Linked DNA regions of Saccharomyces cerevisiae S288C. Changing the gene in region 1 together with any one later gene gives a genetic interaction. Each region holds a gene or a part of one and is shown in the gene's direction. Other genes may lie near its edges.

Region 1 (5,053 bases):
AGTAAAATTTCTGCTGAATCCGTTGGGAAAAGGACTCATCACGGGTATGATGGGAGAATGGTTCAGAAAAAAATCTCCACATCCTGGCCAAGACGAAAGTGTCGAATCCATTTGTGACAGAAGGTTTGGGAATAACTACATATCAAACAATATGATCAGTGCCTTACTAAGAGGTATCTATGGGGATGACGTTTCCCTATTAAGTGCCAAGAGAACGTTTAAGAAAATATACTACAATGAACTAAAGCACGGATCTAACACACAAGCTATGATTGATAATATGCGCGGAAAGTCAAGAAGTAAAAAAACTGAGAACCTGCACCAATCTTTAACTGGCTGCCTTAACGACTACTCAAATGCGTTTGGAAAAGACAGGTCAAAGTTATTAGACTTATCCAACACGCTAAAGAAATATCCCATGTTGGGTCTTGCTGGGGGACTAGAAACGTTTCCCAAGATAGTCAGAAATGCTTTGAACGAATTTAAAAACGTCAAAATAGTTACTGGGAACCCGGTTACGCAAATAATGAAACGCCCTGCTAACGAAACGACAATCGGATTGAAAGCGAAATCTGGCGACCAATACGAAACATTTGACCATTTAAGACTTACGATAACACCTCCCAAAATCGCTAAATTGCTACCGAAGGATCAAAATTCATTATCCAAGTTATTAGATGAGATACAATCAAACACAATAATTTTAGTTAATTATTATTTGCCAAACAAAGATGTAATAGATGCCGATCTACAAGGCTTTGGATACTTGGTTCCCAAATCCAATAAGAATCCAGGGAAATTGCTTGGTGTAATTTTCGATTCTGTTATCGAAAGGAATTTCAAACCACTTTTTGACAAACTCTCCACAAACCCAAACGCCCTCAACAAATATACAAAAGTGACTGCGATGATAGGAGGTTGTATGCTCAATGAACACGGTGTTCCTGTAGTGCCATCCAGGGAGGTAACCATTAATGCAGTCAAAGATGCGCTGAACAACCACCTCGGCATCAGTAACAAGGATCTGGAAGCTGGTCAGTGGGAATTCACTATCGCCGATAGATGTCTGCCAAGATTTCATGTAGGTTATGACGCATGGCAAGAAAGAGCTGAAAGGAAGTTGCAAGAATCTTACGGCCAAACAGTTTCTGTGGGGGGAATGGGATTTTCTAGAAGTCCCGGTGTCCCTGACGTTATTGTAGACGGCTTTAACGACGCCTTACAGCTAAGCAAATAAGTACGTATATATATGGTTAGCTTTACGCAAACTACTTCTTTTGACAATTGAGGCAGTTATCAGCTAATAAGAAAAAGTAGTTAGTATCAAAAGACACAATTTATTTATATTAACCAAATTTTTCAGAACATCCTCCGGACCGTCAGTCTTTAACGCCGAGCCGCCGATGATGGGTTGGAGTCAAAACGAGGGAACTCAATATTAATTGCGGAGTTGAGCGATGATGGGTTGGAACTATATAAAGCATCGGAAACGCATGGCTAAGGGAAGTGGAAGAATGCAGGTTACAAAAAACGGATAAGAACAAACTTGTTTCGAAATATGGCCGCTCCAGATTATGCACTTACCGATTTAATTGAATCGGATCCTCGTTTCGAAAGTTTGAAGACAAGATTAGCCGGTTACACCAAAGGCTCTGATGAATATATTGAAGAGCTATACTCTCAATTACCACTGACCAGCTATCCCAGGTACAAAACATTTTTAAAGAAACAGGCGGTTGCCATTTCGAATCCGGATAATGAAGCTGGTTTTAGCTCGATTTATAGGAGTTCTCTTTCTTCTGAAAATCTAGTGAGCTGTGTGGATAAAAACTTAAGAACTGCATACGATCACTTCATGTTTTCTGCAAGGAGATGGCCTCAACGTGACTGTTTAGGTTCAAGGCCAATTGATAAAGCCACAGGCACCTGGGAGGAAACATTCCGTTTCGAGTCGTACTCCACGGTATCTAAAAGATGTCATAATATCGGAAGTGGTATATTGTCTTTGGTAAACACGAAAAGGAAACGTCCTTTGGAAGCCAATGATTTTGTTGTTGCTATCTTATCACACAACAACCCTGAATGGATCCTAACAGATTTGGCCTGTCAGGCCTATTCTCTAACTAACACGGCTTTGTACGAAACATTAGGTCCAAACACCTCCGAGTACATATTGAATTTAACCGAGGCCCCCATTCTGATTTTTGCAAAATCAAATATGTATCATGTATTGAAGATGGTGCCTGATATGAAATTTGTTAATACTTTGGTTTGTATGGATGAATTAACTCATGACGAGCTCCGTATGCTAAATGAATCGTTGCTACCCGTTAAGTGCAACTCTCTCAATGAAAAAATCACATTTTTTTCATTGGAGCAGGTAGAACAAGTTGGTTGCTTTAACAAAATTCCTGCAATTCCACCTACCCCAGATTCCTTGTATACTATTTCGTTTACTTCTGGTACTACAGGTTTACCTAAAGGTGTGGAAATGTCTCACAGAAACATTGCGTCTGGGATAGCATTTGCTTTTTCTACCTTCAGAATACCGCCAGATAAAAGAAACCAACAGTTATATGATATGTGTTTTTTGCCATTGGCTCATATTTTTGAAAGAATGGTTATTGCGTATGATCTAGCCATCGGGTTTGGAATAGGCTTCTTACATAAACCAGACCCAACTGTATTGGTAGAGGATTTGAAGATTTTGAAACCTTACGCGGTTGCCCTGGTTCCTAGAATATTAACACGGTTTGAAGCCGGTATAAAAAACGCTTTGGATAAATCGACTGTCCAGAGGAACGTAGCAAATACTATATTGGATTCTAAATCGGCCAGATTTACCGCAAGAGGTGGTCCAGATAAATCGATTATGAATTTTCTAGTTTATCATCGCGTATTGATTGATAAAATCAGAGACTCTTTAGGTTTGTCCAATAACTCGTTTATAATTACCGGATCAGCTCCCATATCTAAAGATACCTTACTATTTTTAAGAAGTGCCTTGGATATTGGTATAAGACAGGGCTACGGCTTAACTGAAACTTTTGCTGGTGTCTGTTTAAGCGAACCGTTTGAAAAAGATGTCGGATCTTGTGGTGCCATAGGTATTTCTGCAGAATGTAGATTGAAGTCTGTTCCAGAAATGGGTTACCATGCCGACAAGGATTTAAAAGGTGAACTGCAAATTCGTGGCCCACAGGTTTTTGAAAGATATTTTAAAAATCCGAATGAAACTTCAAAAGCCGTTGACCAAGATGGTTGGTTTTCCACGGGAGATGTTGCATTTATCGATGGAAAAGGTCGCATCAGCGTCATTGATCGAGTCAAGAACTTTTTCAAGCTAGCACATGGTGAATATATTGCTCCAGAGAAAATCGAAAATATTTATTTATCATCATGCCCCTATATCACGCAAATATTTGTCTTTGGAGATCCTTTAAAGACATTTTTAGTTGGCATCGTTGGTGTTGATGTTGATGCAGCGCAACCGATTTTAGCTGCAAAGCACCCAGAGGTGAAAACGTGGACTAAGGAAGTGCTAGTAGAAAACTTAAATCGTAATAAAAAGCTAAGGAAGGAATTTTTAAACAAAATTAATAAATGCACCGATGGGCTACAAGGATTCGAAAAATTGCATAACATCAAAGTCGGACTTGAGCCTTTAACTCTCGAGGATGATGTTGTGACGCCAACTTTTAAAATAAAGCGTGCCAAAGCATCAAAATTCTTCAAAGATACATTAGACCAACTATACGCCGAAGGTTCACTAGTCAAGACAGAAAAGCTTTAGGTACTTATGACGATTTGGAACACATTCAAACTAGAAAAAACTTTGATGTAGGATATCCCTATGCACATCCATACGGTATACATAGTGAACGCTCACTGTGTATAATGGACTAACAGTAGTTATAAACCTGCTTTCGTTACTACAGCACACAAGACTATTGTACTTTGTTAAAGAACTATAAGATTAAAGACATACATAATTCCAACTATTTATACCATTAAATATTCTTCTTAAGCTTTTTTTCGCGGCTTTCTATAATATATGAGGATCAATTAGTGAAAGCAATGCTCTCTATGTTGGAACCACAGTGTAGATACTGCACTTTCATAAAGCGCTAGATATAGCTGGTCAATCTAGCGGAGTACATGGGTCACAGTTACCATTCTCGTAACTTGACTTGGTGCACTACGGGTCAAGATGATTGAAAACGGCTCCCACAACTTCAACTGAGGTCTGTTTCAGATGGAGGTGCAGTGTTTTCCATGTAGTGAGCCCTGATATCGGGGCGTAATCACCTAACTCAGCAAAGGTAAACCTTTCTCATCTGACGGAGATAAAGTGATAGTAATCGGGGATGCGGCGACAGAGATTGAAGTTAATTTGACCATTGAATAGTTGCTTATATATGATAGACTTAGCTAAAAGAAAATAATGAAGGCGTACCCCATATCGCTGATCAGAGAAATCCATGTAGATAGAATTTCTGTCTCCGCTAAAACTGCATGAGCGACTGACTGAAGCTCTACTCATTCAAAAATTATCCCTCTTCACTTCCCGTATTCACACTTGTTGCCACTATGGACATGCTCTCTTTGAAAAATGTAGTCTCACCCACAGAAAAGAAAAGATCATTTGAAAATAAGATATCCTGGGAAACCCGCTTGAATTATTCCAGTGTTTCTACCTAAAGAAAAATCACGCAACCAGAAACAGATTTCGTCTGGGTTCGTTCAACAACTCTTTGCTTAAGATTTAATTAGCATATGCTAAATCGCCATTAGGAGCAAAACCAGGGCTTCTAACGATTTCCAATAAAGAAGATACGGAACTTTTCATGTGTTGACAACAACATTACAGGGATTTTTTCAGACTTTCATGTTACCGGTCAATCTGCTGATGCATACATACAGGTATAAAGAACACTTTGCCTAGAACAATAAAGAAAAGTCAAAGACATCTGAGAGGCATCTTCTTACCTGAAAGAGACGCCTTGTATCTTCTATAGGTCAACTAGAGTAGGTGTTCCGGAAACCTGAATGA
Region 2 (9,933 bases), on another chromosome or scaffold:
CGAATAAAAATAAGATGGCGGAGGAGCAGAGACTTCTTTTCTTAGAAGAGGTTTTGTTACCGTATGGGGGTATGATGGTTAGATGGCTGAATAAAAACGTTAATTAAAGGAATACAGAAGAGGAAGCGCCCCGATTTCTTTTCTGTTCCACATGAAAGCAGCCGGTTGGGTGGTAGATCTCTAATGACATCCAAACTACAAAACCGAGATTGGACATATAGCACACTCTGCATTTCTACTTTCCTTTCTCCCTACAGTTTGCTCGATCTGAACCGATGCTTCTTTGATTGGACAAGATGATAGACCATGACTCCCTGTATGTATTGCAGAGATTGCCACTACTAACCAAGAAAAGTTGAACGTGTCGTACGTATAAAACGATTTATGCTTAGGCTTTACTGAAAAAAAAAAAGTAAAAAGAGGATGCGCAAACGCATAGAGCAAGTAACTAACCTGTTTTTATAGTATATACTTGGCCCCACCAGGCTGATCGTCAGGCAAAACGCCAAACTAATAACAGTAATAACAGAAATATGAACACCAATAGTAATACTATGGTAATGAATGACGCAAATCAAGCACAAATAACGGCCACATTTACGAAGAAGATATTAGCGCATTTGGATGATCCGGACTCCAACAAATTGGCCCAATTCGTACAGCTTTTTAATCCAAACAACTGCAGAATAATATTTAATGCTACCCCCTTCGCGCAAGCAACAGTTTTTCTGCAAATGTGGCAAAACCAGGTCGTACAAACACAACATGCCCTAACAGGAGTAGACTATCACGCTATTCCGGGATCCGGCACGTTGATATGCAACGTCAATTGCAAAGTCAGATTCGACGAAAGCGGCAGAGACAAGATGGGGCAAGACGCGACTGTTCCCATTCAACCAAATAACACTGGGAACAGAAATCGACCCAACGATATGAACAAGCCAAGACCTCTATGGGGTCCATATTTTGGCATTTCCCTGCAGCTGATCATCGACGACCGCATATTTAGAAATGATTTTAATGGTGTAATATCGGGGTTTAACTATAACATGGTTTACAAACCCGAGGATTCTCTGCTAAAAATTTAGTGGGAAGATTCCGCTCTACCAGGGAAAAACAAAATTATATAGAAAAGAAGGTAAGTAATAAGTAATACGAAAAAACCCAAAAAAAAAATTCAAATACCCCAACCCTGTGCCCTTTCTATTTTTATGGTTGAAAAGGTTACAGAGGATCCTCTGGAGCGGTGACAACAGTTGACGCAATCATGGTCCCTGGCGGTCCCTAAGGATATCTCGGAGGAACCGAGGCACGGAAACGGCTGCACGGGTACGCCAGATAAGGATAATTCAGCCGTCACGCATGAACAGAAGGATGAGCATTTGCTCACCTTCCTGGACTTAACTTGCGTGAATGAAAAGAAGAACACCAATGTTAGAGTAGGGCTTCGCACCAAACTTTAATCAAGAAATCTGAGGAGAAATGATTCTAAGTCTAGCCACGAAAACTGCAAAGCGCACCAAAAGTAAGAAACGACAAAGTTTTTCTAGCATTTTTTTGTTTCATCAAGAGAAGAAACACGATTTATATAACTGTTACCGCTAAAACCTACATCTAAACTTTTTAATATCTGAAAGCGCTAGTCGTGTGTACCCCCCTCAACTGATCAACTGGTCAACGAGCTTTACTTGTGGAAGTTCATGGCAAACGCTCCTTGGCTTTTGCCTAGTCTTGTTCTATGGCACATTTTTCTGTTGAGTTACACCCCGCGTGCTAAAAAAGGGGTGAACCATCAGAAAGCTTATTACTGAGTTTTGCGGAGCATCGCTCGGAGCGGCGGAATTGAATCGAACCGCCGTGCTATTACCGAACAAAAAAATTCGAAAGCATAAACTCAGTAGTGAAAAACTTGAGAATTTTCAGATGAGTGGCGACTTTCCAGTCCTTGCGGTTTTGTCACCTTAGTCAGCTAGTAAGGAGGCCGTGTGGGTTAGAGTGGCTACAATCCTCAAAGGGCACTTCTAGAACCCACGGTGAATTTTTTTTGGCATGATAAATCGGTAGAATCGGTGAAGTAATTACCCAAAAAAGGATCGGGATTGTGTTTCTCGTAATTCCGTATTATTGCCGATGGCATCGACTACTTCTTTTTTCAGAAACCCCAACAAGGGTCTATTGTAATTGTATATAAACCTTTTTGTAATGGATATATACATGTGGTACTATTTCTCCTCATCCTGCTCCATCGAAAATCCTCATACGAAGAGTTAGGAAAGCAAAGAAAACAACAAAAACATGAGGATCGAAAAGCACCGTACCCCCCTGTCGAAGGGAATTATTTGGACGATATTGTCTGTGTGCCTTTTATTCATGTTCACCACACTGATATTGGTTATTGTAGCCACTGCTGGCTCCACCGCCAACTACAAACCCTTAACGAATATATACATCGGTGAAGCCGATATCAAACACATCAATGTAAGCAAGGTGATCCCGCAGATAGGCCCTATTTTGACAATATTAGGGTCCGCTTTGACGGCTCCGAACAGCTCCTTGGATGATATTTTTGGCGCCATGAAAAATATTGCTGATACTCCCGCGCTGACGCCGCTATTGACGCTTTTGTCTAATGCTGACAACACCACAGTAACCATCGAATCATTGACCGAATTGGCTCCCTTAGCGATCAGCGGCAATCCTGCTTCTAGCACGAGGCAGTTGACAGAGATTAATGGGCTGCTGAAGTATTCAGACAACGCAACTGAAACACTAGATGGCCTCTCAAGGTTAGTTTCTGCTTCGCTGTCTTCCGCAAGCTCTAACTCTTCCAGTGACTCAACTACTTTGGTTCTGGACTTATTAAAAGACTCCGATAACCCACAGAATTCCACAGATGCATTGCTAACTCTGAATAATCTGACAATGTCAGAAAAGGCGCAATTGTTACCGGTATTCAGGCTATTCGCTTTCTCCACGAACCAAACAGCTACAATGACGGCTCTGGCGACCTTGATGAACACTACTATTTCATCTTCTTTAGCCCAAACACTATTAACTCAGTTACAAAACACAATTTCAAACGGAGGTTCCCTAAATAACACGTTTAGTACTTTGCAACCACTAGTGCCGCAGGCAAGCGCCCCCGCATTTGATGCAGTGGAATTGCTGCTAAACCAGACCACCTCTACAAATCAGACATTGAGCACTCTATCTGATTTGCTGGAACAAAACCTCACTCAGTCATCATCTGCAAAAAAGGCGTTTGCTGCCTTAACCCAATTGATGGAAAATTCGGACAACTCGACAATGGTTGTCACTTCGGTCCAATCTCTAGCTGCGGTGACAAATACAACTCAATCTACTCAACAGCTAATTGGATTAGATGATGTGATAAGCTCCTCGAGTAACACCAACGAAACTTTGTCCATCTTGTCCGAATTACAATCGGGCCTATCCGGTAATTCAAGCTCCGTACAGTACATTCCATATCTCTTCAGTCTTTTAGGGGCATCCACTGATCCTAAAACAACATTTTCATCTTTAGTGACGCTGACTTCCTGGGCTCAAGAAAACCCTCAGACCTTCTTGCCCATTTTAGATATATTAGCGGATGCCAAATCCGTCCAACCGATTTCCGCAGAAGAATTGAACGCCATGACGCCGAATATACTAGAGTATCTGAAAATTCCGATTTACTATCGCTTATCCATTTTCACGCTATGCCATGCTAACCTGGAAAACAAGATCCTAGATTGTAACTCCCCACATGCTGTACAAAACTTGGATTTTAGATCGATTATTTATGACGCATTAGTCACATCAGACTTCCAACCATATCTGAACGCCCTGAATATTAGCGCCAACGATCTTTACCTAGAAGGGAAACTTTTACACAGAGAGCACCAATATGTGCCAGCAGTGAGGTCTGTTTTGGCTTTGAACCTCTTAGCGATCATCTTTTCCTTCTTTACCATGATTTTTATTATATTACTGTACTTTAACAGATATATGTTCAAACAACCATTATGGCTCATTGCCCTAGCTCTACACGTTTGCGTTGGTGTAGCCACTGTATTGGCAGCCATTATCATATCCGTTATGATTGCCATTATAAAGAGCGGTACGGCAGATGATAAATATGGTGTTGTGTTTAAAGCCGGTCCCGCCTATACAGGGCTGATATGGACAGCATTTGCGTTGTCTTTTATCGCCACAGGATTGATAATTTATACGTGGTGGAGGAACAGACGGAGTGGTCGTTACATGTCCGGATCTGTGACGAATAGGAAAGGCGAAATTTACACGTATGGGGATGGTTCTGCCATTTCTGCAGACCGTTTCGGCGACCATAACTTGGGTGATGATGATGATGCTGATTTCGAAAAACAGGTGAATCGTAATGAAATAACCGCTATCGACAACAGTAGTTCTGCCAATAATACAGATGTCACAGGTAGTACGAGTAATAGAACAGAGCTAAGTCACCCCGACGTGACACCAAAAGATTCAAATGGACCTGTTAACAATAATGCACATTTGGTAGCATAATTTTTTTCTTTTTCGTAAATGCTCTATCACTTTTTTTCAATTGTACCAAACCATTTACAGCGTTATCTTAATCTCTTATATTGAATTATAGTACATACCACACCATCATCCTTATTTAATAGCTTTATTTAAATTTCAAAACAAAAATTAATAATAATTTGGTAATTATTCATATTTTTGGAATATATGCAATTAATGTTCTTTCGTCTTTGATGTATATTCCTTCGGCGTTAATTACAACTATCACCGTAAAGTTTTTACCACCCTCCGAAAGATTAAGGGCGGCAATGAAATGTGGAGTAAAGTGAATGTTAGATGATGATATTGATGGCTTTGCTCGATCAAAGATAATATTATATTTAAGTATCATCTTGTCCTCAATCCGGTACAAAACAAACGTCTTCAACATTGTTATCTGTATTTTGTTCGTCTTGAATATGGAAAAGACTCAAAAGGGATAATAATACAATTAAAAGTTACCGAAGAAAGATTTTATAATGATCTCAACAGCTTCTGCATTTTATCAGAAGCATAGAGTAAATTTACTGCGTTCTTCATACATAATATTGTTGCTAGCCACGCTTTACAATTCAAATTCCAGTTCTAGTAACAACAAAACTGATAAGAAGGATTCTGAGTCAACGGTTTTAGAAAATAAGAAAATTGAAGAGGGAAAAGAAACCGCAGTAGATAGAGAGGAAGATGAAAGTAGCAAAGAAGAGTTAACGATAGTCTCCAAACATAGCACAGATTCAGAAGATGGTGCAATAATAATTGATAAAGAAAGCAAGACTAATCATAAGGGGGGAGAGCGAAAAGGAAAGGTAGATTTTTTGTTCAAACTTTTGCTTCATGATAAGAAGTGCCTCATTTTATTTATTACACAGGCTATTCTTCTGAACATCAGAACATTGCTGTCTCTTCGTGTGGCTACTTTAGATGGTCAATTAGTGTCCACACTAGTAAGAGCTCAATACGCAAACTTCACAAAGATATTGTTGGGGAAATGGATGATCCTTGGAATTCCCGCCAGTTTTATTAATTCACTGATCAGTTACACGACAAAACTTTGTGCTGTCACTATTAATAGGAAAGTTTCAGACTTTCTACTCTCAAAGTATCTATCTAATCACCATACTTTCTATTCCGTAGCTTCTGCTGAATCTGTTTCAGAAATTCAGGATAATTTGACAAAAGATATTTACACATTTTCAATGAACTCGTCATTATTACTGAATCAGCTATTAAAGCCAATGCTGGATTTGATCCTCTGTTCATTCAAATTATTAACCTCAAACACTAGTGTTATGGGTGAAGGAACTTTGGCACTGGGCTTAATTGTCTACGCCTCCAATTCATTACTAAAATTGATTCAACCGAATTTCACTAGGTTAACTATGGCAAGCGCATCTTTGGAAAGTTGGTTCAGATCTTTACACTCGAATCTACATTCAAGCAATGAAGAAATTGCACTGCTAAGAGGGCAAAAGAGGGAACTAGAAAACGTTGATTATTCATTTTACCGTTTGGTGCTATTTTTAAACAGAGAAATAAAGGCAAGAGCTATTTATGATGTTGCTACTGCATTTGTCATTAAATATACTTGGGGCGCAGCTGGCTTGGTACTATGCTCGATTCCAATATTTTTCAAAAACAAACCTAGTGAAGACACCTTACAGCTTAAGGAACCCGGGAATGATATGACGGCTGATTTCATCACAAATAGAAGATTATTAGTCACTGCATCTAGCTCTATCGGAAGATTTGTGGAACTGAAGAGAAATATACAACAATTACGCGGTATCAGATTGAGATTGAACAAGTTCAATGATTTGTTGGATGCTAATAAAGGTGATGACGAAAAAGAACCAAGAGATGAAAGGTGTATAGTGGAATATGATGATTCAAGGATAAAGTTTGAAAATATTCCTTTAATAACACCTGCCAATCAAGTTCTAGTACCGGAGCTAAGTTTTGATCTGAAGCATGGAAATCATCTACTAATTATTGGGCCCAACGGTTGCGGTAAATCTTCATTATTTCGTATTCTAGGCGGGCTTTGGCCGATAAGGGCGACTCCCAATAAAAATCATCAATCCAAGTTAATAATGCCGCGTAGAACTGTGGATAGAGATTGCGCAATATTTTATTTACCCCAAAGGCCGTATATGGGCAATAGGTCGACATTCAGGGAACAGATTATTTATCCAGACAGTATTGAACAATTCAAAGAAAGATATCACAATGATTATGATCTAGGCGATGCAGATTTAATAAAAATTCTGCAATTATTAGATTTGGAGGATTTAGTCACTGAAAATATGTCACTTCTGCTGGCGCAAAGGACTTCCAAAAATGATTCACAGCAGTTGTCGACGGAAGACAATCAGTCACCATGCGCCATTAAAGTTCGTGATGCATTCAGTATAGTAAGAAATTGGTCCGAAGAATTAACAATTGGTGTCCAACAAAGGTTAGCTATGGCAAGGATGTACTATCATAAACCCAAGTTTGCTGTGCTCGACGAATGTACATCTGCAGTAGCCCCAGAAATGGAACAAAGGATGTACGAAAATGCGCAAAATTTTGGTATCTCGTTAATATCAGTTTGCCACAGGACAAGTTTATGGCATTTTCATAACTATCTGTTAAAATTTGATGGTAAAGGCGGATACCAATTTGGACCGTTTAACCCGAAGGAAAGGTTATGTAATGAAGAAAAACTTCTTGAACTAAATGCCATCTTGGATCAACAGGTGCCACTTTGGGAGCGGAAGTTGAAAGATCTGACAATTGCTAAAGAATCCAACATCATTCGTAAATCAGAAACTAACCTGAATCTTTTTGAAAAGATCGAAGATCCAAAAACGTCCAAATCTAATGCATTGTTTAATGCAAATAAAGGGCAGCGAATCACATCACCTACAGGGCAGGAGACTAGTAAGAGATTACCACTATTTTCCCAACCATCTAGTTCAGCATCATCAAATTTACTAAGAAACAATAAAAGCTTGAACAAAAAAGTTAAAACAAAAAAGGAAGAAGGAAAGGAGAGGTAACATACATAGCCAAAGGAGGATCCAAATCATGTATAAATTGGATAAATAAATTGTTTTATAATAATTTAATATCTTGAGAAAGCGCTCATATTTACGGTTGATTGCTCAATTCCATGTACCGGATCCAACTGTACTGGCTTCCTCAGCCTCCGGTACCAACCTTTTTTTGTATAAATACGTAAAAATACAAAAGTCTGAACTATTTTTCCCTTTTTATGCAAATAAACACTTTCCTATATATAATTTTACTTTTGAATATTCATGTCACGACCCACTGCCTGAGAACTTTCCATTTTTTATAAAGTGAACCAAGTTTTATAGTTATCTTGAATCAGGTGAAGTTGAATGTGTTAAGATGGATGATTGATTGTTCATTACTGATGATGGAGAAGTTATACTGGCGACGTTACTTGAGGATGCATTATTATTAGAAACTTCTGTTGTGGACGAAATTATACGCGGCAAGGAATCAATTTCTTGAACGATGAATTCTCTTTCATCAAGAAAAGTAGAATCCTGAGAATCTAAACCGAAAGTTTTAAAATACGTCAATAGTTTATCTCTGTTTTTAACAAGAATGTCAAAAACAGGTTTTGACTTCCTTGGGTTTGCTACCATCACCTTGAATACGTTGAAAGCTTCAAGTTGTAAGTTTTTAGATTTGTCAGTCATTAAAGTCATTATGAGCTTTAAGTTTTCTGGGGAGTTGATATATATATTCATCAACGCGTTGTTAGATCTTATCACAATTAATGAGGCCAACAGTTTAGTGCTCTGCCTTTTCGTTACGTAGCTTCCATGAGCCATTAACTTGTTAATACATTTAATGAATCTTATGATATTAATCTCATTACTGAAGAATTCCTTAGACACTAATTTAGGATGTGCAGTAAATGCGGCACTTAATATTTGTAAAGATTCCGTACTGATTTCGAAATTACCCAGTTTCGCAAACTCAAAGAATTTCCATAGTTGAGGGTCCTTTAATATAATCCTACAAAGTTGTTCGTATTTGATACATTCAATAATCATATTCCCTACCGTTAAAAAGATATCTTGGCAACCCTTTTGTTGTAGAGCAACTTCCGCAGTCCTCAACATTAAAGATATGGTCTTTGGTTGCGAGACTAAATAATCTACTGTGACGAATTTATTATCCTTAGAGTATCCAAGGCATATAGAGAATATAAGCATGCATTCTCTCCTTGCTTCGAATTCCAAATCCACAAAATGAAGTAGCAGTTCATAGAACACGTCGGCACGATGCATGGCAGTATAAAGCTCGTCAATGGCTTCCGGAGTTGGGTGAGGATCCGTATCACCGACAATAAAATGTTTAGTGCCAATTAGATATTTTGTGCACTCTTCTTGTACCTTTCGTTTGTTATCCTGAGTCAGCGAGGGTGAGCTGAATTTATTTAGTTGTTCGATGATCAACCTGGCATAATCGGAAGGGGTCTTGGGGTTTTTCTTCCACCAAAATGCCATGTCCAAGTCTTGATTTTTGTATTTCTTAAACATTTGTCTTCGATTTGCGGATAATTTATACTGGGGATTACGTGCAATAAGCCTCTTACGGATAACACGTATTCTTTGGCTTAACTACTCCGAGATTAAATCGTATTGTTAAAACAAGAAGCTATCAACGCCTGTAAATATTGTGTCAGTGCCACTTTTGAAACAATTCTGAGACCACTTTTTATTTTTATTTTTCCAAGAGTGCAATCAGCGGGTTTCCTCCTTATTTGCGTTTGGAGCAATCTTCCCTTTTTCGAACACAAAATCCAAAATTTGGAGCAATTGGCTCTTCAAAATCAACGGTACATGCTCCTTATATTGGTAATAAATAATTCATATCCAGCCTCCTCTTATGGCTGCATAATGGAAAGGATCAACGCTTGCAACACAAAAATAAATTAAAAAAAAAAATTACTGAAGGATGCGAGGTTCGAACTCGCGCGGACAACCGTCCAACAGATCTTAAGTCTGCCGCCTTAGACCACTCGGCCAACCCTCCATACAAATTTTACTTACTGGAAACTCCCGAAGTGTTGTCAACACGTTTTAGGATATGAACTTATCCAATAAACCAATATCACAGTTTAACTTTATTGGAATAGGAATCAAAGATGGTCTGTCTCCTAGCATTAGTATTGCTGGTAATTATCATATACGGTGTAAGAAGATAGTATGATGATTGAGAGATAGTCATCGGGTTTAACGGAAGCTGATATGTAAGGATTGATAATGCAGTGGGATAGTGAATAACAACACATAAAACAAAGAAGAAGTAATAATCTTAATTTATATAACTATTGATCCCCCT
Region 3 (2,836 bases), on another chromosome or scaffold:
GCTGTTGCGTTTCAACGTCGACGCCAAGTTTCCCCTAGAGGGCAAGTCTGACTTGAACTACAAACTATCCAAGAGATTTGTTGAAAGGGCGTACAAGAACTTTGTGCAATTTGGGCTAAAAAATCAAATCATTACAAAATCCCTCTCATCCGGATCAGGGTCATCGATCTACTCCAAGCTGACCAAGATTTCTCAAACTTTACACGTTATTGGCGAAGAGACCAAGAGCAAGGGAATTTTGAACTTCGACCCTTCCAAGGGCAATAGCAAGAAAACGTTGTCCAGGCAGGACAAACTAAAATACATCTCACTATGGAAAAGGCAATTATCCGCGTTATTGTCTACTCTAGGGGTGTCCACAAAGACCCCCACGCCTGTGTCCGCACCTGCAACGGGCTCTTCAACCGAAAACATGCTTGATCAACTGAAGATATTGCAAAAATACACCCTCAACAAGGCTTCACACCAGGGCAATACTTTTTTCAACAACTCACCCAAACCAATCAGCAACACCTACTCATCTGTGTACTCATTGATGAACAGTTCGAACTCCAACCAGGATGTGACCCAGCTACCCAATGACATACTTATCAAGCTGTCCACAGAGGCCATCTTGCAAATGGACAGCACGAAACTGATCACCGGATTGTCTATCGTTGCTTCGAGGTACACGGATTTAATGAATACGTACATCAATTCTGTACCGTCCTCGTCATCATCAAAGAGGAAATCCGACGATGATGACGACGGCAACGACAATGAAGAAGTTGGAAACGATGGCCCAACGGCTAATAGCAAGAAAATCAAAATGGAAACAGAACCACTAGCGGAGGAACCAGAGGAGCCCGAAGACGATGACCGAATGCAGAAGATGCTTCAAGAAGAGGAAAGCGCCCAAGAAATCTCAGGAGATGCCAACAAATCAACTTCTGCCATTAAGGAGATCGCACCCCCCTTTGAACCTGACTCATTGACGCAGGATGAAAAACTAAAGTACCTCTCAAAGCTGACCAAGAAACTGTTTGAATTATCCGGTCGCCAGGATACTACCCGGGCCAAATCTTCGTCTTCCTCCTCCATATTACTGGACGATGACGACTCCTCGTCATGGTTACACGTCTTAATCAGATTGGTTACGAGAGGAATCGAAGCACAAGAGGCCAGTGACCTGATTCGTGAAGAACTGCTTGGCTTCTTCATCCAGGATTTCGAGCAACGTGTCAGTCTGATCATTGAATGGCTCAATGAAGAATGGTTCTTCCAAACCTCGCTGCATCAAGATCCCTCTAACTACAAAAAATGGTCCTTAAGAGTTCTCGAGTCTCTGGGTCCATTCCTTGAAAACAAACACAGACGATTCTTCATCAGACTTATGAGCGAACTGCCCAGTCTTCAAAGCGATCATCTTGAGGCACTGAAGCCTATCTGCCTGGATCCGGCAAGAAGTTCCCTTGGTTTCCAAACGCTAAAGTTTCTCATTATGTTTAGACCCCCAGTGCAGGACACTGTTCGCGACCTGCTGCATCAGCTAAAGCAAGAAGATGAAGGCTTACACAAGCAGTGCGATTCACTGCTTGACAGGCTAAAATGATCACAACCATTACATACATCATATATACGCATGTGTAGGGTCTTCCTTCAACTTGCAAATCAATGTTTTATCTATCATTCTGTGCTATAGGGACCTCGCAATTTTGACACTTCCGTAAGGAGTCATTCAGCGGCGGAGTCACTTTCGCTAACTCTTTCTTCTATATATACAGACCAACAAACAAGTATCTAATGGGAAAGGGAATCTCCACATGAAGCATACCACATCGACAATGTTACGCACTACTAGACTATGGACCACCCGCATGCCCACTGTGAGCAAATTGTTTTTGAGAAACAGCTCCGGCAATGCCCTAAACAAGAATAAACTACCATTTTTGTACTCATCCCAAGGACCTCAAGCCGTGAGGTACACTTCCCAACATGAGTGGATAGCTGTGCATCAGGACAAGACTGCCTTTGTCGGAATTACAAAATACGCCACTGATGCCTTAGGGGACGCTACCTATGTTGAGTTGCCAGAAGTGGGCACTGAGATTGCCCAAGGTGAGTCGCTAGGGTCCATTGAGTCCGTCAAGTCAGCCTCCGAGATCTACCAGCCTGCCGATGGTACCGTAGAGGAAATTAACACTAATCTTGAGGAAAATCCAGGTGTGGTGAACGAAGATCCTATGGGTGACGGCTGGCTAGTCAAAATGAAGCTTGGTGAGGGCGTTAATGTGGAACAGGTCGAGGGTCTAATGTCCTTAGAACAGTACGAAAAGACACTGGTTCATGATGACTGAACAAAGCTTATACGTACGTAAAGTAATTTCATATATATGTATATATATGTAGGGGAAATAAAACAATAAACTCAACGTGTACACTTATGCTTATGCATTCTATTTCGCTTTGGATTCATACTCCTGTGGGGTCTTTAGTGACAATTGTAAAGCATGGATACCGTTCGCCTGAGCCATCTCGTCTTGCAAGAGGGAATAAACCATACGATGGCGTTGTGGAAGTTTCAGGCCTTCGAACTTTTTACTGACCATCTCAATCCGGAAATGTGTCTCAGCAGAGACATTTCCCTGTACACCAGCATGGCCCTTATGCTTGTGAGAATCGTTGTAGAGGCCAAACGCAAAGTTCTTGTAATCTGGAAAGCCGCATTCCAGTCTCTTCAGGATGGTACGTGCCACGGGACCATCTGTGCTCATTGCTCTCTTGAACATTATTCTCTTTCCACTTTCGTTTGCTGCTAACGATGCTATTCTCTTTTTGATTCGTCATTCCGGAACAT

Evidence for each region.
Region 2: mutations in FAA2 (region 1) and PXA2 impair growth when combined (synthetic growth defect), as found in Saccharomyces cerevisiae (2 studies listed by BioGRID, with this or other methods).
Region 3: of FAA2 (region 1) and GCV3, changing one suppresses a phenotype caused by changing the other (phenotypic suppression), as found in Saccharomyces cerevisiae (one study listed by BioGRID).

Annotation. Positions count from the first base shown.
Region 1 is NC_001137.3:182,983-188,035, forward strand, and holds FAA2 (medium-chain fatty acid-CoA ligase FAA2), read left to right. Parts: upstream 1-1,558; coding exon 1,559-3,793; downstream 3,794-5,053. Other genes in the region: HEM14 (oxygen-dependent protoporphyrinogen oxidase), read left to right, coding at 1-1,237; BUD25 (Bud25p), read right to left, coding at 749-1,187, 1,696-1,718.
Region 2 is NC_001143.9:83,899-93,831, reverse strand, and holds PXA2 (ATP-binding cassette long-chain fatty acid transporter PXA2), read left to right. Parts: upstream 1-5,045; coding exon 5,046-7,607; downstream 7,608-9,933. Other genes in the region: MTR2 (Mtr2p), read left to right, coding at 534-1,088; FAT3 (Fat3p), read left to right, coding at 2,296-4,548; HYM1 (Hym1p), read right to left, coding at 7,929-9,128.
Region 3 is NC_001133.9:57,450-60,285, reverse strand, and holds GCV3 (glycine decarboxylase subunit H), read left to right. Parts: upstream 1-1,823; coding exon 1,824-2,336; downstream 2,337-2,836. Other genes in the region: RNA-processing protein PTA1, read left to right, coding at 1-1,591; BOL1 (Bol1p), read right to left, coding at 2,436-2,768. UniProt on the Saccharomyces cerevisiae protein: The glycine cleavage system (glycine decarboxylase complex) catalyzes the degradation of glycine. The H protein shuttles the methylamine group of glycine from the P protein to the T protein.